Anolis sagrei: one gene and its partner. The protein of the gene in region 2 binds, or shares a complex with, the protein of the main gene of each other region. Links are inferred from orthologs where the notes say so. Each region holds a gene or a part of one and is shown on either strand. Other genes may lie near its edges. The genes, in order: TRAPPC12 and TRAPPC11.

Region 1 (16,379 bases), on a different chromosome or scaffold from region 2:
CATTTCCAAGTTATAGCGACCCTCTCATGAGTTTTCTATGGTCCAGATTATGTGACTCACCCAAGGCCAACCAATGAGTTTCTATAGGAGAGTCAGGAATCAAGCCTAGTCCAACACACAAACAACTACACCACGCTGGCTCTCATATCCCTGTGTCTTACTGCAAGAGGTATTTCCCAAGGAAAAAGATAAAAGAAAAGCTAATTGATGGATAGAAACCTGTGTGATTTGGATATCTGGAAAGGAAGACAGTAAAAATACAAATATGGAAAATGCATTAAAATTAAGAGATCATTGCAACTCCTTAATTCTCTAGATCTTAGCATTGCCATTCTCCATTTTCAGAGGTAAAAGTACATATTCCCATGTCCAAGCAATCCCATGCACATATTACTCAGTTTCTTAAAACTTCTTCATTGCATGATCTACCATGGGCATGGATAGAATTTTATATCGGCATGTTTCCTCACCCATACAACAAAATTCCTTAGGAAGAACTGAACACTATTCAAAGCTCATGCCTGATAGCATACATTACACAAAGATAGATACACACACACACGGATGGCACTACATTTAAAAATTCAAGTTGGCAAGGAAAAATCATTATGCTACAGAATGCTTTAGAAACATTGCCAATTCTATTTTCATATAGCTTTGATACAAACATACCTGATTATCATATTTCAGAGACTGTGTTCCAACCAGAAACCGTATTGCATCTGTTTCTGCGGTCTGGGGTGTTAAAGCTCGTGCCTACATAGAGAGGGGAAGAAGGATGATAGAAGTACTGTCACACTTTGTAGTATTTCAGATTGTGCAAGATCTCTCATAAGTTTAGGGTTCTTGGCACTGAATCCATACACATTTTGATTTTTTAAAGGGTGAATTTTTTGTTATGTGAATTTATCTAGTGATGCCTCACTTTGGGTAAAGTGACTGGCTCACTAATAAAAGTACAGTATAGTGATTCAGGTGTAAGAGAACTCTCCAAAATGAAGTGTCGACACATTTCATCAATGGGAAGAATGCACTGAATATAAACAGCAACTGCACAACTGAGCAAAGTGAACAAGTACCAAATCAACATGACTCTCTTGTCAAATTACTGACTCTGTGCATTTCGTATTTTAATCTCATTTTCGGTATAATGGTGGGGTATAAATTGAATGAATAAATAATAAACAACATATCATAGAGTTTTCTTAGCAAGATTTGGCTTTTACCTTCTTCTGACTGTTAGAATGTGACTTGCCCTAAAGCCCTCCAGTGGGATTTTTCCATGACTGAGCAGCAATTTGAACCCTGTTCTCCAGAGTCAGAGTACACTGCTCAAAACTAATACACAATAACTTGCTATAGGATGCTGCCTTATACCAAAGTCAGATCACTAGCCCATGTCACTCATTATTCGATCAGATGCTGACAGCTATTCTCCAGAATTTCAGACAGGAGCTTTTCTGAGATTAACTCTGGAAAGTGGCAGTGCCAGAGACTGAACCTAAAACCATCTGACTGTAAAGCATTTGGTCAACCGCTGTTATCCACTTTTTTCCCTTTCTTTGGTGGAGGAGAAAGAAAGAACTCTTAACTATAGATTGAGGCATAGCTGTGTGTGGACATGAATGAATGAATCCAAGAATAAAACTACAGTTGTATAAGACTGTGAGAGTCTTATAAATGCTATAATCATCAATTATAAACTAATGTGCAAACAAAGCTATCCAACATTTCCAAGATACAGTTCAGGTGCTTTGTTTGGATCAGTTATAAACCATTCACTGGGAAGTGTGTACACCGACATATTCCTGAAGATAAGAAAACTCTTACAAAATATTTGTTTAAAACTGTTTTCTGCAAAACTGAGTTCTGATTTACTTCATAATTTTCTAGCCAGAAAAGGGACAAATCGGGTAAGCTGGAAATCTGCCAAGCTATTTTACCCAACTCTTCTTTAAGATACATGTGTTGAATATAGTCTGTCCTTCACATTTACAGGTTTGACTTTTATGGATTGAATTATTTGCAGATTTGATTAAAAGATTTTTTTTTAGGAGTCTATAGGTCCTTCGGCATGACTCTGTGATCAACCTCTGTTGAAAGTTGACCACAGAATCAAGTTGGAAGACCTAGAGGTTCCTAGAGACAGTATAAGAGGAATCTCTAGGTCCGTTTGTGATTATATGTTGAACTTCCAGAGTTATGCTTGAGCAGGGGTCCTCAAACTTTTTCACGAGAGGGCCAGGTCACAGTCCCTCAAACTGTTGGAAGGCTGGATTATAATTTGAAAAAAAACATGAATGATTTCCTATGCACACTGCACATATCTTATTTGTAGTGCAAAAACACTTAAAAATAATACAATAACTAAAATTAAGAACAATTTAACAAATTTAAACTTATTAGTATTTCAATGGAAAGGGTGGGTCTGCTTTTGGCTGATGACATAGGATTGGTGTTGTTGTTGTGTGCTTTCAAGTCGTTTCAGACTTAAGTTGACCCTGAGTGAGGGCCGGGTAAATAACCTCGGAGGGCCGTATTCGGCCCCTGGGCCTTAGTTTGAGAACCCCTGTGCATGAGGATCTAGAAATGTGATTGTTCAAGCAAAAAGTAGTAGAAGTTTTTAAAATTGTGGTTTATCCACTTTTGCGGGGATTCTGAGCACCTAACCCCAGCAAATGAAGAGAGCTGGCTATATTATTAAGAATTGTGAGAAATTTTGGTCACCTCTTTAAGAATGGCTTCATTTCAGAACACAATAATTTACAGTTCTTTGGTGTTATATGGCTGCATAAAACAAAGATTATTTCTAGACAGCACTTTTGCCTTTCTTATTTTTCATTAAATCAGAGTGCTCTTTCAAGCCAAAGACATAGACATGAAGACAATCCTGGCATCTAGATTAACAACCCAAACCTAATGCCATTTATTCATTGTTTTTGGTAGGGCTTCCTTTCAAGCAAGGCTGCTATGGACTGCATGGACAGGAAATGAAGCACACAATTCTTACATTTTGGCATGATCAACAGTTCATGCAGCGTAAATTTTTTATATATATTGCCCTTTAATAACATTGGCAGGAAATTTTACAATACAATCCAGCAACAAAACACCCCAGAATTTAAGGAAAATACATGTAAAACAACAGATTAATAAGGCAGTAAAACCGGAGCACCATAAGACGGTAACTATGAGAAAAGACAAAAATGCTTGAGAGGAAAAGGAAAGGCCTGGTGTCTAAATGATACTAAAATGATCACCAAGAGAGCCTTTCGGTGAAAAGCATTTCCATAATTGGAGTACCTCTAAGAAGGCACATTCCCTGGGAGTCAAATCAACTCAATTGCTTCAGAAGGCACAGGTATTCACAGAAAAAAGAGAGAAAGTGAGAGAAGGAAAGAGAAGAAAGACAAGTATACAGTTCATAGAGGTTAGGGGTTCGGGATCCCTGCAAAAATGGGAAAACCATGAATGTCATAATCCCCCTATTATGCACACAACAGATTCTTTTTTCACTAACAGCCCCCAGCCCACATTCCCTTCCCCATCTTTCCACTATAAACCCTCAGCCAGGTTTAAGCCCCTTTCCCACCGATCCATCTTCTCAGCACTCCTTCTTTTGCCCCTCCATGTCCTGCCAACAGCTTCATGCCCTCATTCCATTTAGCACTTTTTCCACCATAAAGCACAGCCAGAATTTAAACTCCCTTCCACTATTACATCTCCTTGCCTCACTTCTTCTGCTGCCCTTCTGCCTGTCCTTCCATGTCTGACCAAAGGGCAGTAAAGGGAGTGATGCCAAGAGCAGAGCTGGCAGGAAAGAAGAATTTCCTGCCAGCAGTAGGAATAGGGTGAGATGGTGGATTGGTGGAAAGCGATTTAAACTCCAGCAGTCTTCATCATGGGAAGGTTGTAACAAGAATAAAAAGTTGGTGCTATGGGACAGCGAGGGAAGGTCAGGTGGATTGAAAGGAAAGGATTTTAAAATCTGGTAGCAGAAGGAGTGAGACAAGGGAATGAATCAGCCAGAAAGGGTTTAAGATCTAGCTGAGCCTTCATAGTGGGAAGGCAGTAAATGGAGTGAGGAGATGGCGCTGATTGCAGGATAGAAGGAGCAGCTCAAGGAGTGAGGCAAGGAGGTCAAACTTGTTAAGCCGAAGATTTGCAAAAGAGAAACCTGTGAATGTACTTCAAATATACTGATCCTAAGCTATGAAAGTTAAATTCAACCCTTGAATTGGTCCTGGAAATAGACCAGAAACCAATGCAGCTGTTAGCGCTGAAACAGGATGTCATAATATCCAACTTTATTGATCCTACTTGCCCTTGGTCTGGCATTTCAAAGATAAAAACTATGAGACCTTGGGCTCAAGCAGCACCTTAGAAGCTTTAGTCTCTCTGTTTTAACCAAACACAATTTAGCATATTGTTGAAACCCATGAAAAAATATACATACAGCTCCCATCAGTCCTAGTCATGTTGACTAATGGCGAAAAATACAGGAGTTGTAGTCTAGCATCTGCCAGGCAGAATAAAATGAAATGGCGGGCTGGATTCTGTCCATGGACTTTGAGTTTGACACATATGATCTAGAAACTCCTAGAGAGAACATCTCTATAGGAATCTCTGGTAGATGTTTACCATGGATTCACCCTAGTCTTAACAGATTCCTAGAGAGATGCTCTCTCAAGTAAAAATAAAAGCGTTTTTGGCAGCTTTCTCACTTTTGCTGGGGTTCTGCGTCCATCTTACCTTATGGAACAGTATGTATGTAGGTATGATTCTAAAATGCCATTGATTGTAAAATAGGCACTAATTTAAGTACCACGAACAGAGGGAAAAAAGCTTTATTTATACATACAAAAAAGCACCTGCAATCCCAAGCCACACCCCAACTGTTGACATATTTATATGGAAAAAAGCATATCCCAAAATCAAGGAAATATTGTTTTGAGAAAATAAAATATTGTTTTATATGCATATGACTTCTCTTTTTAAATATGATGCTTCTTAGCTAATGTATTTGATAATCAATAAGAGATAAGATATGTGCGTGGTTCCATAAATTTTCAGTTTATGTTTTGCCTGCAATTATTATTACACACACATCAAGTCTCCTATTGGAAATAGCAACCTTCTACAAGCCTTCTATACTAGTTATTTGCTATTTATATAATTCAGATTACTTACTATATTGTAAATATGTGTATTGGTATACCTAATTTGTCTTGCACGAATACTAGTGGATATATACCACTAAAGAAAAGATTCACTCAAATGAGTTTTTAGCTCTTCTCAGGATTATCATACTTTACAAAAAGGTTATAATCATTACAAATTGTGTGGATGCCAAATGTCATAAATAAATTGTAAATAAATAATCTCCAAAGGGTCGCACTTCCAAAAAGGCTTTGGAGATTCTGGTTTTCCAAAAGGTTATGATGTCAAAGGTCATTCTTTCCCAAAATCTCCTTTGTGTAGAGAAAAGGTGGGATATAAATATACATAATAATAATAATTTCTTTTTAAGAGCCCTAGAAGAAGGCCATTATCAATATATCCAGGCCAAAAAAACATCCATTGGGCTTATTTGAGAGACACAATCTTTTACACATCCCCTGATTCCATAGCACTGAGCCATGGCGGTTAAAATGGTGTCAAACTGCATTAACCCTGCAGTGTAGATGCACCACAAGGTATCTCATGATGCAAATACAGAGATTCCAAAATACATTGAAAAATTTGAAATCCAATACAATTTCAGGTAAGTCATACTCAACTTGTATTTATAAAATTGTACGTTTTGCATTTACAGATGCATTTGGTGTGAGGTTCGGCCCTTCCCCACTGCCATATAACTCAGAATATCAAGGCAGAAAGTCCCACAATATCTGCTTTGAACTGGGTTATCTGAAGCCCCTTCCACACAACTGAATAAAATCCCACATTTTCTGCTTTGAACTGGAATATATGTCAGTGTGGACTCAGATAACCCAGTTCAAAGTAGATATTGTGGGATTTTCTGCCTTGATATTCTGGGTTATATGGCTGGGTGGAAGGGCCCAAGTCCACATTGTGATATAACCCTGTTCAAAGCAGATATTGTGAGGTTTTTTGCCTTGATATTCTGGGTGATATGGCTGGGTGGAATGGCCCAGAGTCCACTGCCATATAACCCAGTTCAAAGCTGATTTTGTGGGATTTTCTGCCTTGATATTCTAGGTTATATGGCTGGGTGGAAGGGCCCAGAGTCTACTGCTATATAACCCAGTTCAAAGCTGATTTTGTGGGATTTTCTGCCTTGATATTCTGGGTGATATGGCTGGGTGTAAAGGCCCAGAGTCCACTGCCATATAACCCAGTTCAAAGCAGATATTGTGGGATTGTATACAGTTGTGTGGAAGGGGTCCTAGATTATAGGAAACATGTGTTGCTGCTGTTCACAGCATTCCCCTTCCTTTCCAATTACCATGCTGATCATGACACGACAAAAAAAAAACCCTCATTGAAGCCCCTTCTTCCCCATTACCTGGAACTCGAGCCCATAAATCACGGGAGCATCATCCTCCATGGCTTCCGGGAAGCAATCCCCATTCAAAGCCCCATAGGGAAAAGGCGAAGCTCACAACAAGTGCTTGCACGTCCCTCGCCGGCTTCCGTCTTTCTCTCCACTTCCTGGATGGAAAGAGACGCTCCGTTCACGCAGCGGCAGAAGAGACGGCGGCTGCAGTGGGACCGTGAAAGCGGGCGCGCATGCGCACTCGGTGGGTTTCCCTATTTCGCCTCGGAGGCCTTGCCGGTGTTGCTGTCAGTGGAAGTAAGTGAGGCCAAGAAGGGGCCAGGCACGTGTATTTCTTCGCTTTGGCTGGCGCAGGGAAGGGAGAACACTCCTGTGGGGTTTGTGATGCTGCCTGAGCCCCTGTTCAGAGGATTTCAACTCTCTCTTTCTGTCCCTGTGATTATTGGATATTGAAAAATGCGGCTTGTCGTGGAAACAAGGATTGGTGCCAAAGCTGCAGTGGAGACACTTTCCCCCCGTGATAAACTCTTTCAAGAGTCAATTTCCCTTCCAAGGGGGAGATTTGTCTCACTGCGTTGCCATAGAATCCCGTTTCTATAATATATTGTATAAACATATAATATTGATAATATTATAATGTAATACAATATAATAATAATATGATATTATAATTATGTATTTTATCTTATATGTAATATTACTAATAATATTACAATATAATAGTATAGTGCAATATAGTAATATATAATACTAATATTGTGCTATGGTAATAATATAATATACTAGCTTTCGGTTGACAACTCCTATGATATATGGCCTGTATCATGACTTGAATTGTCATTCAGTCTGATGTCCTATATTATATTAACTGATCCTGTTAATTTGCTCTGTTTCCATGATTTTTCCTATGCCGTTATACATTGTCATCTACCTTATTAAACCAACTATCATTTAACTAGTTCACGTAGTGGTTTTCCTCCCCCCCCCCCCTCCAAAATTAGTCTGCTGGTATTGTTATTGCTAGCTATTTTTATTATGTTGTTTTATGCTGTTTATATTGCTTTAATTGTTATTGCTTTATTTTAACTGTATTCTGCCTGGGCTTGGGTTCCATGTTAGCCACCCCAAGTCCCTTCGAGGAGATGGAGGTGGGGTAGAAAAATAAAGTTCTTCTTCTTCCTCTTCTTCTTCTAGCTGTACCCGCCATGCGTTGCTGTGGCCAACTTTTCCTCCCTCTTTCTCTTCGTTCTTTCTCTCCTTCCTTCCTTCTCTTCTTCTTCCCTTCCACCCACCCCCTTTTTTCTTTCCCTTCACCTTTCTTTCCTCTCTACCTTCTCTACCTATTCTTGGACTGCAACTCCCAACAGTCCTCCTGATCCATCCATCTATCTACCTACCTACCTATCTCTATCTAATCTATCTATCTGGAGGATTGCTGGGAACTGCAGTCCAGGAATAGGAAATTGGAAATATGCAGGGATTGGGATACTCTCAAAGAAGTCCAAGGAGAAGGAATCTTGCAGCTTGGAAGCAGTGCATTTGAATCATCCCCTTCTCCTAAAGGGTCTGGTCTAGGAAATGCTGGGAGCTGTAGTCTGGAGGAGAGTGTGGATATGCTATTGTGTGTTTTGTTCGCCAGGGGAAGTCGTTTTTGTGCTGTGGTGTCTTTTTGCTTTTTTGGTTTCTAAAGTCTTTTCGGCTGTGTTTTTCAGTGTTTTTATGAGTGATGGTCACTCGTTGGCCTGACAGGTGCATTGTGTCCAAATTTGGTGTCAATTCGTCCAGTGGTTTTTGAGTTATGTTAATCCCACAAACAAAGATTACATTTTTATTTATATAGATTGTATTTACATATTATTTGTAAACCTCTCTGAGTCCCCTTCAGGATGAGAAGGGCAGCATATAAATGTTGTGAATAAATAAATAAATTTCTGAATCCAAATTATCTACTTTGAGTTGGATTATATGGTAGTGTAGAACTGCCATATAATCCAGATAATCTGGATTCAAAAAAAAGGATGATATGGCAGTGTTGATCTGGCCTGAGACTGTCGTACTTTGGCCATATCCTGAAAAGAAATGGCTCACTAGAAAAGGCAATACTGTTTGTTAAGGGGGAAGGCAGCAGGAAAAGGTAAAGACTACACTGCAGAGGGATACACTCAATCATAAGGGTGCATCTACATTTATGCTGTGGTTCTCAGCCTGTGGGTCCCCAGGTGTTTTGGCCTACAACTCTCAGAAATCCCAGCCAGTTTACCAGCTTTTAGGATTTCTGGGAGTTGAAGGCCAAAACATCTGGGACCCACAGGTTGAGAACCACAGGAATGAAGCATTTTGATCCCACCTTAATTGCCATGACTAAATGCTACAGAATCCTGGGAGTTATGGTTTTACAATGTCTTCAGCCTTCTCTGAGAAAGACTGTTTGTGCCGCACCAAACTACAAATCCAAGGATCCATAGCATTGAACCATGTCAGTTAAAGGGGTGTCAGACTTCATGGATTCTGCAGTGTAGATGCACCCTGGGTCTGCAAGACTTCAAGAAGGGTGTTGGCGATAGGATTACTTGAAAGTCTCATTCACAAGTCAACATTAAGAGCAACAATTCATTGCTATTAATTATTATTGGCATGTATTGTCGAAGGCTTTCATGGCCAGAATCACTGGGTTGCTGTGAGTTTTCCAGGCTATATGGCCATGTTCCAGAAGCATTCTCTCCTGATGTTTCACCCACATCTATGGCAGGAATTCTCAGAGGTTGTGAATTCTGTTGGAATGTAGACAACTGGGGTTTATATATCTGTGGAATAATGTCCAGGGTGGGAGAAAGAACTCTTATCTGTTTGAGGCAAGTGTGAGTGTTGGAATATGTTTTTAAAGGTTTTAATGTATGTATGTTGTAATTCTGTTTTAAATGTTGATTGTAATTTTTAAATTATTTTAATGTCATCAAATAGTTGCCTATGTTGTAAAGCTACCTTGAGTCACCTTCGGGTTTGAAAAAGGTGGGGTAGAAATATCGTAAACAAATAAATAAATTGGCCACCTTGATTAGCATTGAATGGTCTTGCAGCTTCAAAGCCTGAGGGAATCCTTTGTTGGGAGGTGTTAACTGCCCCTGATTGTTTCATGTCAGGAATTCCCCTGTTTTTAGTGTTCCTCTTTATTTACTGTCCTGATTTCAGAGGGTTTAAAAAAATATATTATTGGCATGTATATATTGACCCTTTACTTCAAACTGTGGGAAAATACATATAACATACACTTCCTGAATTTTATTATACAAAGATGTTTGTTTTATTAAAATGATAATAATCTTTGCAAACATATTAAAGAAAATAATTTGTCACATATTTTTCTATTTTAAGCATCCAGAAACCCACCCCTGCTTTCTCTTCCAAAAAGACAAGTGTTGTACATAGTGAAGCCAAACCTGACAGAGCTGAATTTGGGAAATTATTTTTCAGTACCTGAAAACTGCATTTTTGGGATGGCTCAGTTCAAGTTGCTTTCAGCTAAAAATTTATAGCATGCTTTCTATGCTCTCCATGGCAATGCTCAATTTGAAATGGAATCCCCTTCACTACATATTTTCTTTTACATTTCTTTGTCTTCTATCATTTCGTGCACCATTATCATATTTTTGGCATGCTGGATTCCCCATATTCCTGTAAAGAATACTTTAGTGTCCTCCAAGTGTTTTAGACTTCCACATCCAGGAATCCTAGCCAGCTTACCAGCTGTTAGAAATTCTGGGAGCTGAAGCCCAAAACGCCTGGAGGACCAAAAGTTGGGAGCCACTGGTGTAGAAGAACAAATATTGGATATTTCTGCAATTCAGTATAAAGGCATATCCTTGCTTTGAAGTAACTAACTGCAAAAGTAAATAAGACACGTCTCATCAAAATCTATGACATTTATTGCAGTGTTTTGACCTAGTAATCCCTCTGTCTCTCTTTTGAAGTCTACCAGCACCAGTGTTTTGCCACGATTCTTTGCCAGATAATTTAGACAGTACCCACTATATCATCAAAGCTCTGATTGGTAGCAGCGCAATAACTCAATCCAAAAGAAATTTCAAGCAGTCACTTGAATATGATATGAAATGATATAAGTGATTATAAACTTCAAAGTAATCTCCAGCCAGAGCAAGCAATCACAAGATGAAGTTGTGATTTAAGACAGTGAATAGAGTGCACAAATGCCAACTCCATCCCATGGAGTGTCCCTCCCGGGACCAAATCTCTTCATGTGAGAGCAATTTTTTCTAGTGCTGAAAGAGAAATCCCACTCCTTGTTACATTGAGCAGCAATTGAAGATATCAGGGCATCTCCAAGTGAGGGATATAGCCCATATCTGGGGTAGTTGTCCTTTTAAGCACTGGTGAGATGAGTGGCATAGGAAGAAAACGTACAGTGCAGCTGGTGTTCGGAGGAGCTGGTCCTCCAAAGCTAGGTATGTCTCTTTGCCCACTGCATGACCTTCTACGGCATGGTGAATGACAACAGAACTGCCTTGTAGTACCCAAGAACTATATGTGTGTACTCAAAATGAAAAGAGCTACTTCAGTGGTTCTCAACCTGTGAGTCCTCAAATGTTTTGGCCTACAGCTCCCAGAAATCTCAGCCAAATTTACCAGTTGTTAGGATTTTTGAGAATGGAAGGCCAAAACATCTGGGGACCTACAGGTTGAGAACCACTGAGCAGCATCTAGAACTAGTCAACAAAATTTGCAGGTTTTTTAAATGGCTAGCTTTAGAGGTACTAATACCAGTTCTACCCTCTTGCCACTTAGCCTCTTCTTACCTTGTTACTTACTAGGGGTGTGTGAATCTCTTCTGTTTCCATTTCGAATTTTAGGTAACCCTCATTCTGTTTTCATAAAGGTTCCAGGAGATGGGGGTGGAGGGGGAGGTGTTTGGATTCGTAATTCGGAAACCTGAGTTTTATTTCCATTTCAGGAAGAATCTTCCCAAAAACAGAAGGGGGGGGGGGGGGAGAGAGAGAGACAGACAAAACAGAACAAAAATAGAACAGATTCTGCGCCATTTCACACATCCCTACTTGTTACTCTGGTATACATTTATTTTTCAGCAATGATAGTTGTTTAGTGCTTATTCCACCGATGTTCATGTCTTGAGAACAATCGATCTGCAATTTTAATCAAGCATCCCATCCACTCTCAAGGAGGCAAAAATCACTCTTGTCACACTGTCTAAAGCAGAGAAACAGCAGCCCAGTCAGGATTTACTTGTTCTAGCTGTTCAATATACTATTTACCCACCTCGTTCACCATCTGCAAGTTCTTTCTCATCTCCTCCTGCTATCTTCCTCCTTCCCATTTACTCCTCCATCTTTTCCCTGACCTGCATTCTTCCTTCTCCATAGTTTGTTCTTCTCTGTGCAACCAGGCTCCCCCAAAGCCTTGCCCCTCTCTCTCAGCAACACAAGGGCCAACTCTCCTGTTGGGGTCTAAAAGAGCAAGCATTGGCTACTATTACAAGTGGACAAGTCAACTCTGATGTAGGGAATTGTAGCCTATTGTATCTAGATCAACTTCTATGCCATTGCAAATGAGCAAGCCAGAATGAAAAAAGTTTACTGTACAGAGCAGTGTTGAGGTGCTTGACACCAGAACATTTCCCATAAATAGGTGAATTCATGTATAATGCAGCCTTGTTAAATCATTTTACGCTGGAGGAACCTTTGAACAAGTGTTCAGATCTCAGGGACTCCATGTATAAAGTTATATCTTCTTCTTAAAAAGTATATTGATTTTTTTTCCAGTTATAATCTTTTACATAATCCCTACTAAGCTCTTGCAGAACCATGGGGATTTAAGGAACCCTGGTTGAGAAACCCTTGTCTAATGTCCCTATTTGGTCCTTCTATCTATAAGTATACTCCAGTTAATGAAGTACGGTATATGCTTTAGTATAATCCAAGTTTTTCAGCCCATTTTTAGGCTCAGGTGAAAATACAGTACTAAGGTCTTCAGTAGGTGGCTTTGGTGGTTTTCAGTGCTTTTATGTCACTTGTCATGGTTGTCTTGCACAAGGTTAGTGAGGAGGACTTTATTGTTTTGTAACACTTGATGTTTATTGAAATGCTGGATAGACTTCAGTGTTGCTGCTTTATGCATAAATGGCCAATGATTTCATTACCAATGAGAGTAATCACGTTCACTTGTATTTTCACTTACAGCAGCTATGGAAAACAAAGAAAGCAGTATTGGAGATGCAGCAGAAGGTGAATGCAGCGTCCAGCAGCAAGCGGATGAAGAACTTCTTTTTCAGGAAGAAAACATTGATCTTGGAGGAGATGAGTTTGGGTCTGAGGAAAATGAGACTGCTGTGGAGGATTCTAGTCCCTTCTTAGATAAACTGAATGAACAGATGATGGAAAGTGTCATTATATCAGATTCCCCAAATAATAGTGAAGATGATACCGGTGATCTTGGTTGTCTGCAAGAAATTGTAAAGCAACTGGAAGAAAAGGATGTTCTCGTAACAGAAGGAGAGACAAGAAACAAGGCTGTTGGTGATGAGGATGACACTGAACCCGAAGGCACTCCTAAAGCTATTTCTAATAGTGGAAGTGATAATCAATTCACTTTAAAAGAAGACTTGATTCAGGAACCTGCACAAGATGAATTGGAAGTGAAAGGTGAAGGTCCTAATTCTGTTGCCAACAGTGAAGGCAAAACTGAGGAGACAACATCCTCGCCACTTGCCAGCACATCACCTGTCGGCACTGAGCCTATTCCTGTGTGTACTATCTTCAGCCAAGGGAATCATATGAACGGCCAGCAACAATTCTTGCATGATGGCTTTGAGCCTCAAATGGTGAAGTCACCTAGCTTTGGTGGTATAAGCGAGACTCCGGTGAAAACTCATCCCCAGGTGGTTCAGCCTAGTCCAAGTCTAAGCAAGTTTTTTGGTGAAGCCATTAATACCAATACACTAGCTTCTGATTTCTTTGATTCATTTACCACATCCTCTTTCATTTCCGTCAGTAACCCTAATGCAAGCTCATCTGTACCAGAACAAATGTCTTCTCTTGCAACAACTGTAGATTCCCATGACTCTGCTGACCTTAAATGCTCTGCTAAAAGTGGAAGATCTGAAGCTGGAAGATCTGCATCTTCTCCAGAAATATCACAGTCTCCAAAGCCATTTTCCCATATACAAGCCGTTTTTCAAGGCAGTGATGATCCTTTTGCATCTGTGCTGAATATGAGTGAAGTGGACAGAAGACATGATGCTTGGCTTCCCAGTGACATAACTAGAAATGTGTTGATTTCTGTAGCCACGCAGCAGTATAGTAATGTTTTCATAGACAAAGAGAATCTCACAATGCCGGGATTAAAATTTGACAACATTCAGGTAAGGCTCTCCTGTTGCTTTTCAATACCTGTAATACTACAGCTGATACATTCAAAGGCATTTCAAAAATGCCCCCAACTATGAACCCACTCTTCAGGTGATATGTATGACCAAATGTAAAGCAGACATTTCCTTTCCTCTGTAGATGGCCCCTAGCATAATCATTTCTTGTTTTGTTTGAGTTAAGACTATTACACCTTGAGACAATTTGTTACTAATCTAGATAGTTGTTTGAAGTTCTCTCCACATCTCAAGCAAATGAAATAGGAGGAAAGAGTCCTCTACATACTGGTAGCAGTGCATCCTTAACATTCAGTGGCCCCACCCAACAGTTTCATGCAGATCATAATAGACTGAGAGACCAAAGCTCACTCCATGGGATCCCATAGAGAGGAGAAAGTATTTTTCAGTATCATCTAGGGGCCCTTCCACACAGCCATATAACCCAGAATATCAAGACAGAAAACCCCACAATTTGAATTGGGTTATCTGAGTCCACACTGCCATATATTCCAGTTCAAAGCAGATAATGTAGGATTTTATCCAGCTGTGTGGAAGAGGGTTAGGACAGTGTTCCCAACCTTTGGGCCTCCAGGTATTTTGGACTTCAACTCCCAGCCACTTTACCAGCTGTTAGGTACTGTGGGAGCTGAAGTCCAAAACACCTGGAGGCCCAAAGGTTGGGAACCACTGATCTAGGATGAGATAGTAGAAGTACACACACACCAGACTGAGTAGCTTCACACTGTTTTGCGTGGGAGTGGGAATTAACAAAATTGAACCCAGTTCCTCTCCTTCACTTGTGATGAAGTAAGAGGGGGATAGAGACCTTCATGTAGTGACAGAATAGTGCAGACATGCTAACTTGGCAAATCAAAAGTTGCAAAAGTCAACAGGGTTAATATTTAGATTTGAGGGGGGCGGAATCAGGTTTCTTTGTACCATCTCCTTTGAAGGGTGAAGAATATGCATTGCTCAGAAAAAAATATAATTCTGATCACATAACCTTTCCTCAATAGTTATGAGATAGCAAAACAATAAAAATGAAAGTAATGGGCCTAAGTTCTCCAGATACCACATCTCCTATGAAGGTAACCAGATCATAAGAGTAAAAATTACTTACAGAAATCAGTTGGTTTTCCTGTTCAGAAACTAAAACCAAAGTGACAAAAATGGGTTTTCTTTTAAGAAGGAGATGGTAAGCATCCCCTATTTTACACAATAAAAGCTGTTTTCAGAATGAAATTTTTTTAAAATTACCTTTATTAACATAGGAAACGGTACAGATACTCCCACATTCAAGGCCCTTGTTAAGTAGGAGGATTCTCGAGTATGTATTTTCATTAATGTATGAAGTTTATATTTTTTAAAAGCACTTTGGTTGTTACAAATATTGGGTGTATATATTGTATTTTCCATCTTTTCAGGGCGATGCCGTTAAGGACTTAATGCTCCGCTTCCTCGGTGAACAGGCTGCAGGGAAAAGACAAGTTCTAAATGCCAACTCTGTGGAGCAGTCATTTGTAGGCTTGAAGCAGCTGATAGTAAGTAGCAAGGTGTTTCCTCTCTTGAAGCATACTGAGCACAAGGCTTCTTTTGTAGGTAGCCAGGAGCTGAAATTATTCTCATCATCAAATGTGGATGATTCAGTGCCCTGCATTTTAATAATCCGGAACAGGGATGGACAGAAAGTAAATGGTGACTTGCTGGTAAATCTCTTCATGAGTAGCTATAGATCAGCCAAGGTTTTTTTTGCCTTCCAGCTGTTTCACAATAACAGAAATAAAATGATGCGCACCACAAACATCTTAAATTAAAACATTGATTTTTTAAAAAAACAAATAAATAAATCTTGTGGCAACAAAGAATTGGTTTTTGCTTGGAGTTTCAGTACAAGTAATTTACAGTGTTGGTATCTGAAACATACATGGGGTTAGAATTGTTTCCTTCTAAATCCCCAAATCCTTATTGGGGTGATACCTTTGTTAGTCCAATGAAAACATCATAAAGTGTGAAGGCTTTGCATTTGCAAGGGCTTAATGATAAACAAAGAGTAAAATGTTGATAGTATGACTGTGGCCCCTTCCACACAACTGAATAAAATTCAACATTATCTGCTTTGAACTGGAATGTGGACTCGGGGCCCTTCCACACAGCCCTATATCCCAAAATATCAAGGCAGAAAATTCCACAATATCTGCTTTGAATTGGGTTATCTGAATCCACACTGCCATATATTCCAGTTCAGATCAGAAGATGTGAGATTCTATTCAGCTGTGTGGAAGGGGCCTATAATTTTGAAATAGTGTTGCCTCTGTCTTTTTATATTTGTTAGTGTGTAATACATTCATTTACACTTGAAATAAATAAAATCCCACCTGTGCACTATTACTGCCTTAAAGTACAAAATATACATTGATAATATGAATTTGACACATAAAATCTATAATGACTAATCACTGCTGTTTT
Region 2 (16,379 bases):
GAGATGTTTAGAAATAGCTGGATCATTCTATTCTTCTTAAAATTTAACAGAAATACACAGGGAGCCTGATTCTGTTATGTGAGAAGTAAATCTCACTTAGGGGATTTCTCTCAAACATACATTAAGAGAATTTCAGCCTTCATCAAGAATATCAATAGAAAGTCCCACCTTTCACATTATTTACTTACCGTATAATATAACCTACAAGATGATCAGTATGCGGCAAAACAAAGAGTGATTTTCCAGACAGGTCACAAGCATTGCATAATGCTGCTGCCCGCTCAGAAGCAATGACATCTTCTCCTAAAAGGCCACATGAACACAATAAGAAGTATAATCAGACTCAAATTTGCAATCTTCGTATACTTTATTAAGCTATATCTACAAATCAATCAATATCATCTACTTTGTTGGGAATATTGTACATTAATCAACCACTTTAGTGAATTTTAAGAAGTATGTAATTAAATCTTGCAAAAGAATATCAATTCATCCCAAATTTATTAGAGTACACTTTACAGCTATTCTATCTCTAGTGGTCCTATTTTATCAGTTAGAACTATTTTCTGATGTTCTCTAGATATTACTGAACTATAACCTCTATCTAACGTAACCAATTAATGTAGAAATCCCCCTCCCCTCTTCCCACCCCCCCCCCAATCTGGGTCAGACTATTTTAATACACTGATTTAATCGTTTGGATGGTCTGGTTCAAAATTCTGTATCTATAATTTCCTTCTGTTTTGTCAATTTCCTATTCAGTCTTGTTTGGAATTACTATTCAAATATTTATTTTCCCTTTGACTAATTAAGTTGTTAATTATTCAGAGAGGTCAGTCTACCATGTTTCCAGATCCCATCTTGTTTTACCTTTCCAACCTTGGGCAATTGTGGAATATATGGCTGATATCATAAGTTTTAATATTTCTGTCCATTCGTTATTCCCCTTCTTTACCTCTATAGTGAGGGACAGAAATCGGGCTTTATTCTAATATAATTTTTGCCTTATTATTTCCTCTATTACTTCCCTGACTGTGTTATAATACTTTTAAATTTCAATGCAATCCCACCACATATGACAAAATGTCCCAATTTCCCCACACTTACGCCAGGATTTATGAGAAATGTTTCCCATAATGTGTGCCAATTGTAAGGGGGTTCTGAACCATTTTGTGATTGTTTCCCTTTGTGTTTCCTTGATCTTTAGATGATTATTTTTTTTGGATTTTGTCAACCCAGGACCTAACTAAATTCTCATCAAAGTTTGTATCTTGCTTCCCAGCCTCTACTAAGGTGCATTTTGTCTTATAAGATAAGGGTGTTAGTTCCTTATATAATTCCCCAATAATTTTCTTTTTCTATTTTCCAATTAACGATTCTATCTAATGGGGCATCTGTTTTTTTTTTTTCATTTCCTTTATTCTTTGGGACAAGCTTAACCATGCTATCCAGTTCTTTATCTGTCCTTTATCTTACCCTATTTTTTTAATTTCTCAGGTGGGTTTTAAGAGGTCTCCTACCTTATTTACACCATTTTCTTTCGTAGTCTTAATTAAGTTCCTTAAAATTTTGTCTTTGTTTTCTAGAACAAAAACAGAATGAGTCTAACTATACTTTACCTGGAGGCAATGGTGTTTTCTTCTGTATCAAAACAACAGCAACTTTTGTGTTTCGTCCTTGCAAACTCTGCCTGTAAGAACAATGCTGGATTCAGGATTGCAAATACTCAAACAACTGTCAACAAAACAATCTAATGTATTAAGGAATTATTCGAAATAAAACCGAATCAACTTAAAGGATGCATTCTTTGTTCCTCTTTTGGAAAGGCAAGAGCTCCTCCTTACTTTTTTTCAAATCTCAGGCAAATCTCACTTGCCACTTATGGCATTTCACCACATAATAGTCAACATTGCATAATCAATGCACCCCGCTTTTTGGGTTCCCCAATGAATTTTTTCTTTTCTTGCATAATTGTTACAGATAGTTTTAAAACAAAACTACCTTCCTCCCTCCCTGACCCCTCAAAGACAGTTTAAATAATCACAGAATTGTCCCTCTTTCCTCCTCTTCGCTTCAGAAGTCAAATAGTTGGGTTTTTTTTAAAGAAACAGGAACTGGCAAATACAAGGCAACATTTTATTTCATCGTGTAATAGTCACACTCCCTCCCTTTTCCAATAAAAAAGAGATTAAAAGTGTGGCTATGATGCAACAAAATACAGTACTTGAAGCAATCTAAGAGCAGAATTACAGGTATTGCAATGATTTTTTGTAAAGGTGCTCTAACATGTGTAGGGCAGTAGTGTCTATCCTAAATGTGGAAGACAGGGGAAAAGTGAAATACAACTGTTTAACAAGGTAACATTTCTTTGCAATACACCTTTACTAAGGAATAGCTAATAACTAATAAATCAACAGAGATTATACCTGACAATTTCAACTCTAGTAGCACATTCTGACTGTTTTTCTTTCCATTGTGGTTCATCCCAATCCAGCTCATAGAAAACCACAACGAGGGCAGGTACCAAATTCAGATGTTTGTTCATCCAACCAGTCTTCAGGATACCCTTTGGAATGTACCATTCATATGATGTTCTCTGCAATAAATAAATATGAAGAGAAGCTGTTCTCTCTGTTCATACATACACAAAGGCAATTTCCTGAACATTTTGTTTTATTTATGTCACTCCTGATAATGGTTTCTGAAGGAAACAAAATCTGTATCATTGCTTGTTTAATTATTTGTGTTGAAGTCTTAAAAGACATGTTCTAAAGCCTAAGCTTTCTAACCTCTGGGCACTTAATTCTGAGCAAATATGGGTACGATGGTGTTGCACTGGTTCTCTGAACTGCTTAACCAATGGTGCAAACTGACAACAGTTTTTGCTTTGAATCATAGAAAAGGTTTCTACTCTATTTATAATAACTTATTTAATAAACCAACCCATTTAGTAGTTTTGAGACTTAAATTATAATTCTGCACTTACTTTTGAAATGATTCCTTCACAATGACAGTTTAAACCTATAAGCAATCTTCAAGTAGGAAACTTATTACTGCAACATTCAAAGATCAGTATAAACTGTAAGTGATTCTCAGTAAACATAGCTAAGACTTCAAGCAATACCTTTGTTCTGCATTTAGGGTATTCATGATCACCAGGCAGTACTTTAAAAGAAATGGGCACTCTGTCAGCTCTCCTGTTTGCACAAAAGGCATCCCAAACCGCTCGATGAACAGCATTATATACTACATCCAAGCCCGTGAGTGTAACAAAAGCCATAGGCCGGCAACATAGTTCCACCGGAAAGTCCCACTGTGAAGGGCTCATCTTGACAGTGTATCAGGAATTCTAAAACATTAAGCATATAAACAGGCAAAACATTAAACATATACTGACAATAATATTCAGACATAAATTTGGTGCTTCAAAAATACAAATTATTGATACATTTATAGCCTGCGATGAACAAAAGGAAGAACTCTTTTCTGAGATTTGGCTAAACTCTTTGTCTGCCCAAAGTACATGCAGACAAAACAAGCATCCTTCATTTAGCGGTAAGAATAGAAGAATGCTATTGTCAAGAACCATCTGCCATCTTTTGACGGGAAAGGACTATCTTTTTATGCAGCTCTTAATGGTCCACTTGTACTTTGGCCCTAACAATCTAATATCTAATAACACATATTTTTCTTAGTGTCTTGCTTTTTTAGCCTGTTCCTGGAGTTACTTGGGACATTGATTCAGAAAATTGCATTTAACAATAATAATCTTTATTTATATCACATCCCTTTTCCAACAGAACTCGGGGCAGATTACAGAAATAAGTACAAATCAAAACAAGAATAAAAACAATGCATAAATGACAATATCAAAAAACATAGCAAACAAAAATAACAATATCATAGTAAAAGTAGACTGCATCAGTTCTACTTTCTTAGATGTAGTTATCATTATTTTCTATGGGCAAGCAGTAGAAGACTGGTATATCACATATTCTCTGCATCTCACAAACTAGAGCTTGTAGGGGGAAACCGGTGCCATTTTTTAAAAATCAGCGGGTCAAATATACCTAGGTCTAACATTTGAGGTATCAAAATATGAGTTGGCAGTGTTAAACATCAGCCTGTGATATTCTATATAATAAGGATTTGAAGGGTCTCTTTCAGCTAAATTTTGTTCATTTTTGTGGTTTCTTCATTTCTGTTGAAATTGTCCGCATGCTTATGGATATCAATGGTTTCTCTTTTAAGGGAGAGTTTAAGCCTGATTTGTTTTGGAACACATTAATTTGTCTTTAGGACACACATGGTATTGACAGATCTCATTTCAAATACTTCTTCCATTTTAAAAATGCCATTGATGTAAACTAATTTTAGTGCTACCAATAGAAATGTGTATGTGTGTGTGTAAGAACCCATGTTTCTAAGACGCAATCCATTTTTAGAGATGTTTAGATGGTAAATAAAGTGTTGCAGAATTCAAAAAATATAGTAATTTCAAGTGCCAAACATGCTCAATGTGGGGAGAGCTGTCTTCTGGCCATACGTCAACCCCCCCCCCCCCCCCGCGCCCAAAGATATACAATATCACATACAAGTCCAGCACACACAACAATATGAAAATGAGCAACAGATATAAACATTCTTCAGATAATCTTGACCACAACTCCTCACCCCTCTATCTAATCTATCTAATGATAGAGGAAGTGAGTTATATAGTCCAAAAGAAGCGCCAATAGCTCCTTAACTCTGTTGTAAACCAAAAGGCTGTGCCGTCCTATGAAATAACAGCATTGTCTCAGAACAACATCAACACCAAAGCTTTCCAACCATTTCATGTTGGTGACACCATTTTTAGACAAGCATCATTTTGCAACACAGTAATTCAGTTTTACTAGCAAACCAGACACATATCTAAATTGTAATACAAAAATGTATGGGGTCACATCATATATCATGAAAACCTTGCATTTTTATGTTTAAGCATATGATTTATTGGTTATTTCTCATAGAGGTCTCTCATTAAGTTTGCGCGACACATTCATGTTGGGAAAGCTCTGCTTTACACTATAGATTAAATGCAGTTTCACACCACTTTAACTGTCATTGCTGGGTGCCATGCAGTCATGGGAGTTGCAGTTCTACAAAGTCCACAGGGTTTTTTCTTTATTTCGTATCAAAAGCATTGCAGTATAAAACTGATAAAAAATAGAAGGAGCACAAAAGGCTAAATACCCTTTGACCAAAAACGGGCAAAAGCAACACCATTATCTGTAGCTGCCAACAATTCTTCCTCCATACATGAGGCAGGGCATAGTGGACAAGCATACAGTTGCAGAGTTGTCTGTTCTGCTCCACAGTCACACAGGGTGGGGGATTCTTTTAGGTAGTGCCATTTTGCCAGGTTATCTTTTGATCTGCCCACTCTGCTTCAGAGTCTGTTCAGGGACTTCCAAGTTGCCCATTTTTGGTTTGTCCCTGGAGGAAGACTCTCCTGGAGGGGCATCCGATTGGGATTTCCTGGTTTAGATGCCCAGAGGGATACTCTTGCCGTTGCTTGGGGCTGTTAAGAGGAGTGGTGGTTCTCATGAAGCTTTCCCTTGATTTGAGTCATCTGGGAGGAGGCTGATAGCAATGCAATGGGTGGCTTTCACAGTGTTCAACTATATTTCTCTCACAGTTAGCAGTAACTTCCCATTGCACATCGGGGGTGGGGGGGATACCAGCTAGCTTGTAGAGTTTATCAACAGAGAAGAAAGAAGGTGAGAAGGACAGCATATAAATGTCGTAAATTAATGCTATGTTCACCTGCTTTGCATGAGCAGACTTGTGCCAAACATTGCAGACATACGCAGCAGTTGAATAAGACAAGGCTAGGGCCAATGTTCTTATTAATTTTGGATCTGCACCCCATGTGCTGCCAGTAAGTTTCCACAGGATGGTATTGCATGCAGCTACTTTGTGCTTGGTGTTCATGCAATATTTCCTATGTTAGTGTTCGATCTAGTCCACAGGGTGTTAGGGCTTCACCAAAATTGCAACTCCCAGGATTCCACAGCACTGAGCCCTGGCGGTTAAACCAGTGTCAAAACTGTGTTAATTCAGCAGTGTAGATGTCACTCCAATTCCTTCCTTTTCCTCTCTAAGGGCCCTTCCACACAGCCATATAACCCAGAATATCAAGGCAGATAATACACAAAATTTATTTATTTATTCACAACATTTATATGCCGCCCTTCTCACCCCGAAGGGGACTCATAGCAGCTTACAAGATAGATATATATAGTAGAAATTTGGTAGTAATGTGATTTTTTGATAAGATGTTTTTATGATAATGATGAATTGTGGATTATTTTGCACTATGGTTTGTAATTTGCACCTATTTTTTTTCATGTTGTACACAGCAATGAGTCGCCCTAGGGCTGAGAATTGCGGTATATAAGCGCAGTAAATAAATAAATATATATATATATACATACACACACAATATATATTATATTATTAGTATAGTACAATATCAGTATTATATATTACTATACTGTACTATACCATTATAGTGTAATATTATTAGTAATATTACATGTAATATAAAATATATAATTATAATATCATATTATTATCTGTTTTGAACTGGATTATATGGCAGTGTGGACTGAGGACCCTTCCATACAGCCATATTACCCAGAATATCAAGGCAGGGAATCCACAATATCTGCTTTGAACTGGATTATATGGCAGTGTGGACTGAGGGCCCTTACATACAACATTATAACTCAGAATATCAATGCAGGGAATTCACAGTATCTGTTTTGAACTGGATTACACGGCAGTGTGGACTGAGGACCCTTCCATACAGCCATAAGAACCAGAATATGAAGGCAGCGAATCCACAATATCTGCTTTGAACTGGGCTATCTGAGTCCACGCTGCTATATAACACGGTTCAATGTAGACTGTATACAGCTGTGTGGAAGGGGCCTGAGGCTTTCTCTAGGGCTCCCACCTTCGTTCCGAGGTCCCGCGTCAACAGTAGAGGAGGCCCGGCTCAATTCCTACCGGCGCCGCCCATGCCAAGGCCCAGCCAAGCTACAGAAAGTGGAGCAGGCGAAGCATTCAATCAGGAACCCAAGGCCTGACTCAGGAAGCCAGAGAGGAGCACTGCTGAGAGTGACAGCCCTCACAGACCAATCAGCGTTAGAGACGCCTCCGCCCTCGAAACCGATGATTGGAAGGGAGTTCGGGGCGGAGCAAATGGTCAATGAAAGGACCAATGAAAAGAAGGAGGGACCCCCTTTTTCCTCCGTGGGCGGGGCTAAAGGGTTCGGGCCAATAGGGAGCCGGGACCGTGGTGACGCTGTCCAATGAGCGGCTTGTGTTGGCGCAGCTGTCACCTCACTGGTTTGGCGCCTGCGCAGAAGGCAGCCTTGCTCTCTGGCTCAGATGCTCGCAGTGTGGGAAGGGGTCGAGGCAGATGCTGGACTTCTCCCTGCTCTGAAGGACGGCTGAAGGGAGGAGGAGGAGGAAAAAAGGGGGAAGAGGGCCGCGGCCTTGTCTGGCTTCTCGCCATGACGGCGAACGAGGACCAAGAGGTGAGGCAGAGGCTTATTTTGAGGGGGCTCCGGCAGTGAAAGTGTTAAGGCACTTCCGGAAGGGGAGGGGCCTCCCCAGGCCCCGCCCACTTCGAGCCACCTGGGTCAATTGGAGTAGTTAGGCCTAGAGGGGAGACTGACTCAGTTTGGGTTAAGAAGCTATGGAACAGGCTGCTTCTAGGATTACAACTCCCACAATCCCCATCGGATTGGCACTCTGGAACACCCCAAGGACAGCCAAAGTGGTGTCAAACTGTATTTATTCCACAGTGTAGATCAGGCTTGGGCCAACTTGGGTCCTCCAGGTGTTTTGGACTTCAACTCCCACAATTCCTAACAGCCTCAGGCCCTTTCCTTTTTGGACTTCAACTCCCACAATTCCTAACAACCTCAGGCCCTTTCCTTTTTGGACTTCAACTCCCACAATTCCTAACAGCCTCAGGCCCTTTCCTTTTTGGACTTCAACTCCCACAATTCCTAACAACCTCAGGCCCTTTCCTTTTTGGACTTCAACTCCCACAATTCCTAACAGCCTCAGGCCCTTTCCTTTTTGGACTTCAACTCCCACAGTTCCTAACAGCCTCAGGCCCTTTCCTTTTTAGACTTCAACTCCCACAATTCCTAACAACCTCAGGCCCATTCCTTTTTGGACTTCAACTCCCACAATTCCTAACAGCCTCAGGCCCTTTCCTTTTTAGACTTCAACTCCCACAATTCCTAACAGACTTATTTATTATTTATTTATTTCTGTCACTTTTACCCCGCCCTTCTCGACCCCAAGGGGGGACTCAGGGCGGCTTACAGAAAAAGGCACAATTCGATGCCTTGTCACATATACATACATATATAAAAGCAATTAAGCAATTACAAATTAAAAATTAAATCATCAATACACAACAACACCATAAACACAGTAGAAGGCTAATCCTGAGCTCAGCGTTCGGAGTTCCGTAAATCCATTCCGTCTCGTCAAGTTCCAGCTCGTCATCAAGTCTTTCTTTAGCTGCCAGAATGTCCAATTGCCTGGTCCCACATCCAGGTCTTCAACCTCTTCCTAAATGAAAGAAGGGACGTTGCCGATCTAATCTCCCCGGGGAGTGAGTTCCATAGGCGGGGGGGCACCACCGAGAAGGCCCTGCTCCTCGTCCCCGCCAATCTCACTTGTGATAGAGGCGGGGTCGAGAGCAGGGCCTCCCCAGAGGATCTTAGGTTCCAAGGTGGGACATAGAGGGAGATCCGTTTGGATAGATACACTGGGCCGGAACCGTTTAGGGTTTTGTAGGTCAAAACCAGCACTTTGAATTGTGCTCGGAATTGGATCAGCAGCCAGTGGAGCTGACACAACAGGGGGGTGGTTTGCTCCCTGTATGTCGCTCCAGTGAGCAATCTGGCTGCCTCTCGCTGGACCAGTTGGAGTTTCCGAGCAGTCTTCAAAGGCAACCCCACGTAGAGTGCGTTGCAGTAATCCAATCGGGGTGTAACAAGAACATGGACCACTGTGGCCAAGTCCGACTTCCCAAGGCTTAAGCGGCTGAGGGGGAAAAGGAAAGGGCCTGAGGCTGTTAGGAATTGTGGGAGTTGAGGTCCAAAAAGGAAAGGGCCCAAGTTGGCCCAAGCCTGGTGTAGGTGCATCCTATACCTGAAGAGAGTTGTATTTCTGCAATCTCTGGAAAGTTTTGTTTCTTACTCCCTTTTTTCTGTGTGTAACAATGTGCCTCACTCCCATGGCGCTCTATTCTTCTTCCAGATGGAGTTAGAAGCTTTGCGGTCGATTTATGAAGGAGATGAGTGTTTCAAGGAACTTAGCCCAGTATCATTTCAATATAGGGTGAGTTGGAAACAATTTATTCTAGAAGTAATTTTTCTTATTTGAAATGTTAAGGTTTTCCCCTGACATTAAGTCCAATCGTGTCCGACTCTGGGGGTTGGTGCTCATCTCTGTTTCTAAGCCGAAGAGCCAGCATTGTCCAAAAGACACCTCCAAGGTCATGTGGCCTGCATGACTGCATGGAGCGCCGTTACCTTCCTGCTGGAGCGGTACCCTATTGATCAACTAATATTTGCATGTTTTTGAACTGCTAGGTTGGCAGAAGCAGGGGCTAACAGCAGGGGAGCTGATCACACTTTTCTATTACAGTTGTGTTTTTAAAAAGTAAATAATAGAAAGAATCACAGAAGTTAAAATATTCTGAGGAGGCTCTGCTCTCGGTCCTGCATCCATCACATGTTTGATTGGTGGGGGTGAGAGACAGGGCCTTCTCATTGGTGGCTTCTCAGCTTTGGAGCACCTTTCCTCCTGACCTTTAGAAAGAGAACAAAAACGTGGTTGTGAGATCAAGCCATTGGCTATTAAAATAACACAGTGCAAAGAATAATTAAGGAACATGTGCAATGACAATCGGAGTGGTTATGGTGTATTTTTTTGGATTATGTGATTTTAATATTTATTCTAGGATGTTTTGTCTGAATGTTTAAATTTTGTTTATGTCTTATGTTTAATGGTTTTAATGATTTTAAGTCAAAGTTATATGTAGTAAGTAGTTATTATGATTTCTTTGTTTTGCTGTATGTTGGCATTGAATTTTTGCCATTAATATGTTGTAAATGGCCCTAAGAACCCCAAGCGGTGAGAAAGGCAGTATATAAATACAGTTAAATAAATGAATAAATAAATATGTGGTTCAGAAAGGAGAGCCGGTTTTCTATTACAGTTATGTTTTTTTAAAGTAAATAATACAATCTTTAGTCTTGGGCCTCAAATTTATGAAATTAGCTACATTCATTTTAGTGGGAAACATGAAATTCATCAGGCCAGGCCTATTCTTATTCTTAATAAACCTTCTTACGAAATGATCCATATTTCTTTAGAATGAGCAACATTCCCTATGGCATGCAAGTCTTTTCTGGTTGCAGTTTTATAGATTTATATAAAGTACTGTTTTTCATTTACACATCTGGATTTGAAGTCTTCCCACTTGTGAAAATGTCATTCTGTTTCCACATCATTTTAAAGTCGCAGTGGGTGTAAGAAGTAAATCTCTGTTATAAAACAAGCATTTTTCAACATTGTTTTAATGTATTGTCGAAGGCTTTCATGGCTGGAATCACTAGGTTCTTGTGGGTTTTTTCGGGCTATAGAGCCATGTTCTAGAGGCATTTCTCCTGACGTTTCGCCTGCATCTATGGCAAGCATCCGCAGAGGTAGTGAGGTCTGTTGGAATTAGGACAATGGGTTTATATATCTGTGGAATGGCTGGGGTGGGGCAAGGAGCTCTTCCCTGCTGCAGTTAGGTGTGAATGTTTAGCTGATCACCTTCATTAGCATTTGAAGGCTTGCCTGAGCCTGGGAAAATCTGTTGCTGGGAGGTGTTAATCTGTGCCTTTTCCTCTCTGTTGTTTAGCTGTTATAATTTTAGAGTTTTTTAATACTGGTAGCCAGATTTTGTTCATTTTCATGGTCTCTTCCTTTCTGTTGAAATTGTCCACATGCTTGTGGATTTCAATGGCTTCTCTGTGTAGTCTGACATGGTGGTTGTTGGTGTGGTCCAGCATTTCTGTGTTCTCAAATAATATGCTGTGTCCAGGCTGGTTCATCAGGTGATTTTCCCAGGCTCAGGCAGGCCTTCAAATGCTAATGAAGGTGATCAACTAAACATTCACATCTAACTGCAGCAGGGAAGAGCTCCTTGCCCCACCCCAGCCATTCCACAGATATATAAACCCACTAGCTGTGCCCTGCCACGCGTTGCTGTGGCCTATAGTAAAACTTTTCAAAGTAGAGGTAGGTATCTGGAGTGTTATGAAAGAGAGGTACCTACCTATTCCTTCCCCCTTTTTCTCCCCCTTTCTCTCCTTTCTTCCTTCTCTACCTCTTTCTTTCTTTTTTTCCTTCTTTCGCTCCTTGGTTTCATCCTTCTCTCTTTCCTTCATTCCCTCCCCCTTTCTTCCTTTGCCTCCTTTCTTCCCTCCATGTTTCCTTCCTTCTTTCACTTTTTATTTTCTTTTCTCCTTCCTTCTTTACCTCTTTCCTGCCTTTCCTTCCTTTTATTTTTCTTTCCTTTCTACTTTCTCTTTTTCCTTCCTTCGATACCTCTTTCTTTCCTGCCTTCCCTCCTTCCTTTCTTCCTTCCCAATGCTTACCCAACCCTTCTCGTGCTTTCTGTTGGGTCATGGGAGTCCTGTGTGCCACGTTTGGTTTTTTTCCATCGTTGCTGGAATTCAGAATGCTTTGATTACAGGTAAACTATAAATCCCAGCAGCTACAACGGAGGGGGGTGGGTGGAGGAGGAGTGCAGGGGCGGGGCGTCGGTGGGTGTGGGCGGGGCTTGGGCGGAGGGGGTGGGAGGAGGAGTGCAGGGGATGGTTTTTGCAGTTTGAAGGGGGCGGGGCTTGGAGGTGGCGTGGGCAGGGTAAGATGGAGGAGGGATGGTTTTTGCAGTTTGAAGGGGGCGGGGCTTGGAGGTGGCGTGGGCAGGGTAAGATGGAGGAGGGATGGTTTTGGCAGTTTGAATTTTGAGTAGGGCTTACCCAACCCTTCTCGTGCTTTCTGTTGGGTCATGGGAGTCCTGTGTGCCACGTTTGGTTTATTTCCGTCGTTGCTGGAATTCAGAATGCTTTGATTACAGGTAAACTATAAATCCCAGCAGCTACAACGGAGGGGGGTGGGTGGAGGAGGAGTGCAGGGGCGGGGCGTCGGTGGGTGTGGGCGGGGCTTGGGCGGAGGGGGTGGGAGGAGGAGTGCAGGGGCGGGGCGTCGGTGGGTGTGGGCGGGGCTTGGGCGGAGGGGGTGGGAGGAGGAGTGCAGGGGCGGGGCGTCGGTGGGTGTGGGCGGGGCTTGGGCGGAGGGGGTGGGAGGAGGAGTGCAGGGGCGGGGCGTCGGTGGGTGTGGGCGGGGCTTGGGCGGAGGGGGTGGGAGGAGGAGTGCAGGGGCGGGGCGTTGGTGGGTGTGGGCGGGGCTTGGGCGGAGGTGGTGGGAGGAGGAGGAGTGCAGGGGCCGGGCGTCAGTGGGTGTGGGCGGGGCTTGGGCGGAGGGGGGTGGGAGGAGGAGGAGTGCAGGGGCGGGGCGTCGGTGGGTGTGGGCGGGGCTTGGGTGGAGGGGGGTGGGAGGAGGAGGAGTGCAGGGGCGGGGCGTCGGTGGGTGTGGGCGGGGCTTGGGTGGAGGGGGGTGGGAGGAGGAGGAGTGCAGGGGCGGGGCGTCGGTGGGTGTGGGCAGGGCTTGGGCGGAGGGGGGGTGGGAGGAGGAGGAGTGCAGGGGCGGGGCATCGGTGGGTGTGGGCGGGGCTTCGGCGGAGGGGGGTGGGAGGAGGAGGAGTGCAGGGGCGGGGCGTCGGTGGGTGTGGGTGGGGCTTCGGCAGAGTGGGGTGGGAGGAGGAGGAGTGCAGGCAGCATGGGCAGGGTAAGATGAAGGAGGGGGCGGAGAGATGGTTTCGACAGGGCAGGAAGCGGCGTGGCGGGGCTTGGACTGGGGGAAGAGGGTGGCAGGGTTAGAAAGGGGCGAGGCTTGGCAGCGGCGTGGGTGGGCTTAGCAGGGGGAGGGGGGAAGTTGCGTGGTGCATGTGTGGGCGAGAAGGGGGCGGGGCGAAGTTGGATGTCGGTGAACTACAACTCCCATACTCAAGGTCACGGAGGGAAGGGGTGGGGCGAAGGGAGGGGGCGGGTCTTTCCGGAGGGGGTGGAAGGAGGAAGGAGTGAGTCAGGGAGGGAAGGGGTGGGGCGAACGGAGGGGCGTGTCTTCAAAGTCTCCCCCTCCCTTCACCCCACCCCTTCCCTCTGTGACTCATTCCTTCCCTCCTCCCTCCCTCTCTGGTTACACGCCCCCTCCCTTCGCTCCACCCCCTCCTTCATCTTACCCCTCCCACGCTGCCTCCAAGCGCCGCTGCCTCGCCGCGCCGCATCCCCACCGGCGTGTCTTTCCGGAGGGGGAGGGAGGGAGGGAGGAGGGAAGGAATGAGTCAGGGAGGGAAGGGGTGGGGCGAAGGGAGGAGGCGTGTCTTTCCGGTGGGGATGCGGCGCGGCGAGGCTTGGAGGCAGCGTGGGAGGGGTAAGATGAAGGAGGGGGTGGAGGGAAGGGGGCGGGGGGAAGTTGCGTTGTTTGTGTGTGTGTGGGCGGCGACATGTTCGTGCTGGGCGGGGCGAGGGAAGTGCTGAGGGCGCATTGGCCGTTCGGCCATGTGTGCGCGCGAGCTGGAGACTTTGCTCCAGTGCGCATGCTCAGTTGTTTTGCCATTTTGTGAGTGTGTTGTTGTGTTGTTTGTAATTGTGAGTGGATTAGTTTGTACCGAGTGGGTTGTCCTAGGGCCATGGCAATTTTGGTGCAGTTTCGTTGGGGGGGTTTAGAGTTTACCTGTCCGGTATAACCAACCTAACAGATTTATATATATAGATTGTCCTAATTCCAACAGACCTCACTACCTCTGAGGATGCTTGCCATAGATGCAGGCGAAACCAGGAGAAATGCCTCTAGAACATGGCTCTATAGCCCAAAAAAACCCACAAGAACCTAACATTGTTTTAGTTTTAAAAGAAAACCTAAGATTTTCTAGCTTCTTGCAAAATAATGATCTATTATTGTGGTTGGTTTTTTTTTAGATAGGTGATAATGGAGACACTAAAGCCTTCCTGATAGAAATATCATGGCCAGAAACATACCCCCAAACAGCCCCTGTAATATCAATGGATGCATTCTTCAACAATGCCATGTAAGCAAATCATTTTTTGAGTCTTAATATCCACCTCCTTAAAAAAATGGCTGCACTTTCCATCTGTTGCTATGAAAATGTTCTGTGATCTCTTCTAGATCCTCAGCTGTAAAGCAAAGCATATTAAATAAATTGATGGAGGAAGTTGAAGTTAACCTTGGGACCTCTATGACATACACCATTTTTGAATTCGCCAAAGATAATAAAGAATTATTTATGGAAAATCAACCTGCCCATACTGTGGTAAGCTTATGATCAGTTGTCAATCTGCCTTACAAAATAAACGTTTTTCTGACTGTTAAGAAGCTGATGTCAATCATATTACCATCCTTTAAAACATCGCATTATTAGATTTTTAAAAAATCTAATAAATGAACTTAATAAGTAACTATTTAGCCAGCATACTAACCCAGTATCATGGATAATGTTACTCTGGGCCCTTTCACACAGCCATATAACCCAGAATATCAAGGCAGAAAAATCTCACAATATCTGCTTTGAACTGGGTTATCTGAGTCCACACTGCCATATATTCCAGTTCAAAGCAGAAAGTGTGGGATTTTATTCAGCTGTGTGGAAGGGACCGATTATTGCTTGAAATAATCGTACTTTGAATAGAATTATATATTGTTTTGATGAAAAAATAACAGCTTTTATGCCATATTAAACTACTACAGCTTTCATTCCCTAGTATGTACCAAATTGCAAATTGAATAAGATTTATTAATAATCCGAATTCTAATATAATTTTGAACAGACTTTCAACAACAACAACAAACAAATGCTATGGTTGAAAATCTGAAGGTGTAGATACCTTTGACTTTGACTAAATGAAAGAAGTGGAAAACAAAACAAAAAAACGAAAGGAATCAAAGTAAATAGGCTCTCTACATTTTAGAAAATTCTTACTGACAAGTTACATTTTTTTAGACAGCATTGAACAACTGCATCCCAACTGGACATTCTGATGTTGTTCAACCAAGTAAGAAAAAAGAGAAAAAAGAACAGTTAACCAAAACACAAAAACGCAAGCTAGCAGATAAAACAGGTGTGTATGTTTTCACTGTCATTAAGAAAATTGGAATTCATGTTGTCATGTCTATGTCTTATGTAACTTAAAGAAAAGCTTTTACTGCACAGAACTTAAATACATCTTTTAAATCAGAAAATTGAAAATTAAAATAATTTTTGTTCTGTTATTGTTTTGGCTAGATTCCAAGGGGGAACTTCCTCGAGGATGGAATTGGGTTGATGTAATCAAGGTAACATAGATCACGTTTTAAATGCATTAAAAGTGTGTAGTTTCAGGAGATTTTATAGTGTCTAATCCCTTTCTCTCTCTTTCCATATATTTTGGACACAAATAACATCTGGATTATCTTCTTGCGTTTAAATAGCATGTAAGTGTTCCAATCTTTTTGAATTGTTGTGTTTGTCTTGAAGTATTTTTTTAGTTCTGTGCAAACCTATTTGTTTTGTACCCATTTTGGGGGCATTTAAAAAATTTTTTAAAAAATCTAATTGATTTAAATTCAGTTCAAGTCTAATGAATCCAGAAACAGTAAATAATCTTAGAATAGCAGTCATTAGATCCATTTCAGTACTTCCCATAAACAGAGAAGCTGTAATCAAAACATTTTTTTAAAATAAATAAGTTTATATACAGTTAGCTGTATCTAGGAGATCTTAAATGAAAACATACAATTATCATCTCATTGAAGGCTTGCATTTTTCATTGTATTTAGACTTCAGTCACTGAGTATAGTACAAAGTGATGATTTGGAGATATTTTTTTAAAAAGTAAGTGTAATCACAACAGATTCTACAGACTCTTACTAAAGTTAAACAATGGGTAATATTTCAGACATTGAGTTGGATCCAGATTTACAAATGTATGGTTTTACAGTGGTCTAGAATAAAGATATTTCCACTCCCCTCATTTTTTTATCGTGTCAGAAGCAACTTAAAATGACTGCAAGTTGCTTCTGGTGTGAGAGAACTGGCCGTCTGCAAAGATTTTGCCCAGGGGACGTCCAGATGTGTTACCATCCTGTATTACCATCCCTGCATGAGGAGCTGGAGGTGACAGATG

The links.
Region 1: TRAPPC11 (region 2) and TRAPPC12 share a complex: the UniProt entries of both Homo sapiens proteins name them as parts of the multisubunit TRAPP (transport protein particle) complex. The link is inferred for Anolis sagrei from reciprocal best matches to the Homo sapiens genes TRAPPC11 and TRAPPC12.

What each region holds. Positions count from the first base shown.
Region 1 is NC_090021.1:119,245,599-119,261,977, reverse strand, and holds the start of TRAPPC12 (trafficking protein particle complex subunit 12), read left to right. Parts: upstream 1-6,687; 5' UTR 6,688-6,753; coding exon 6,754-6,817; intron 6,818-12,729; coding exon 12,730-13,910; intron 13,911-15,337; coding exon 15,338-15,454; intron 15,455-16,379. Other genes in the region: EIPR1 (EARP and GARP complex-interacting protein 1), read right to left, coding at 673-756, 6,530-6,571. UniProt on the Homo sapiens protein: Component of the TRAPP complex, which is involved in endoplasmic reticulum to Golgi apparatus trafficking at a very early stage.
Region 2 is NC_090025.1:65,959,496-65,975,874, reverse strand, and holds the start of TRAPPC11 (trafficking protein particle complex subunit 11), read right to left. Parts: upstream 7,189-16,379; 5' UTR 7,004-7,188; intron 3,350-7,003; 5' UTR 3,329-3,349; coding exon 3,125-3,328; intron 2,597-3,124; coding exon 2,427-2,596; intron 1,691-2,426; coding exon 1,620-1,690; intron 304-1,619; coding exon 189-303; intron 1-188. Other genes in the region: RWDD4 (RWD domain-containing protein 4), read left to right, coding at 7,566-7,589, 9,337-9,417, 14,178-14,287, 14,386-14,530, 15,218-15,335, 15,500-15,549. UniProt on the Homo sapiens protein: Involved in endoplasmic reticulum to Golgi apparatus trafficking at a very early stage.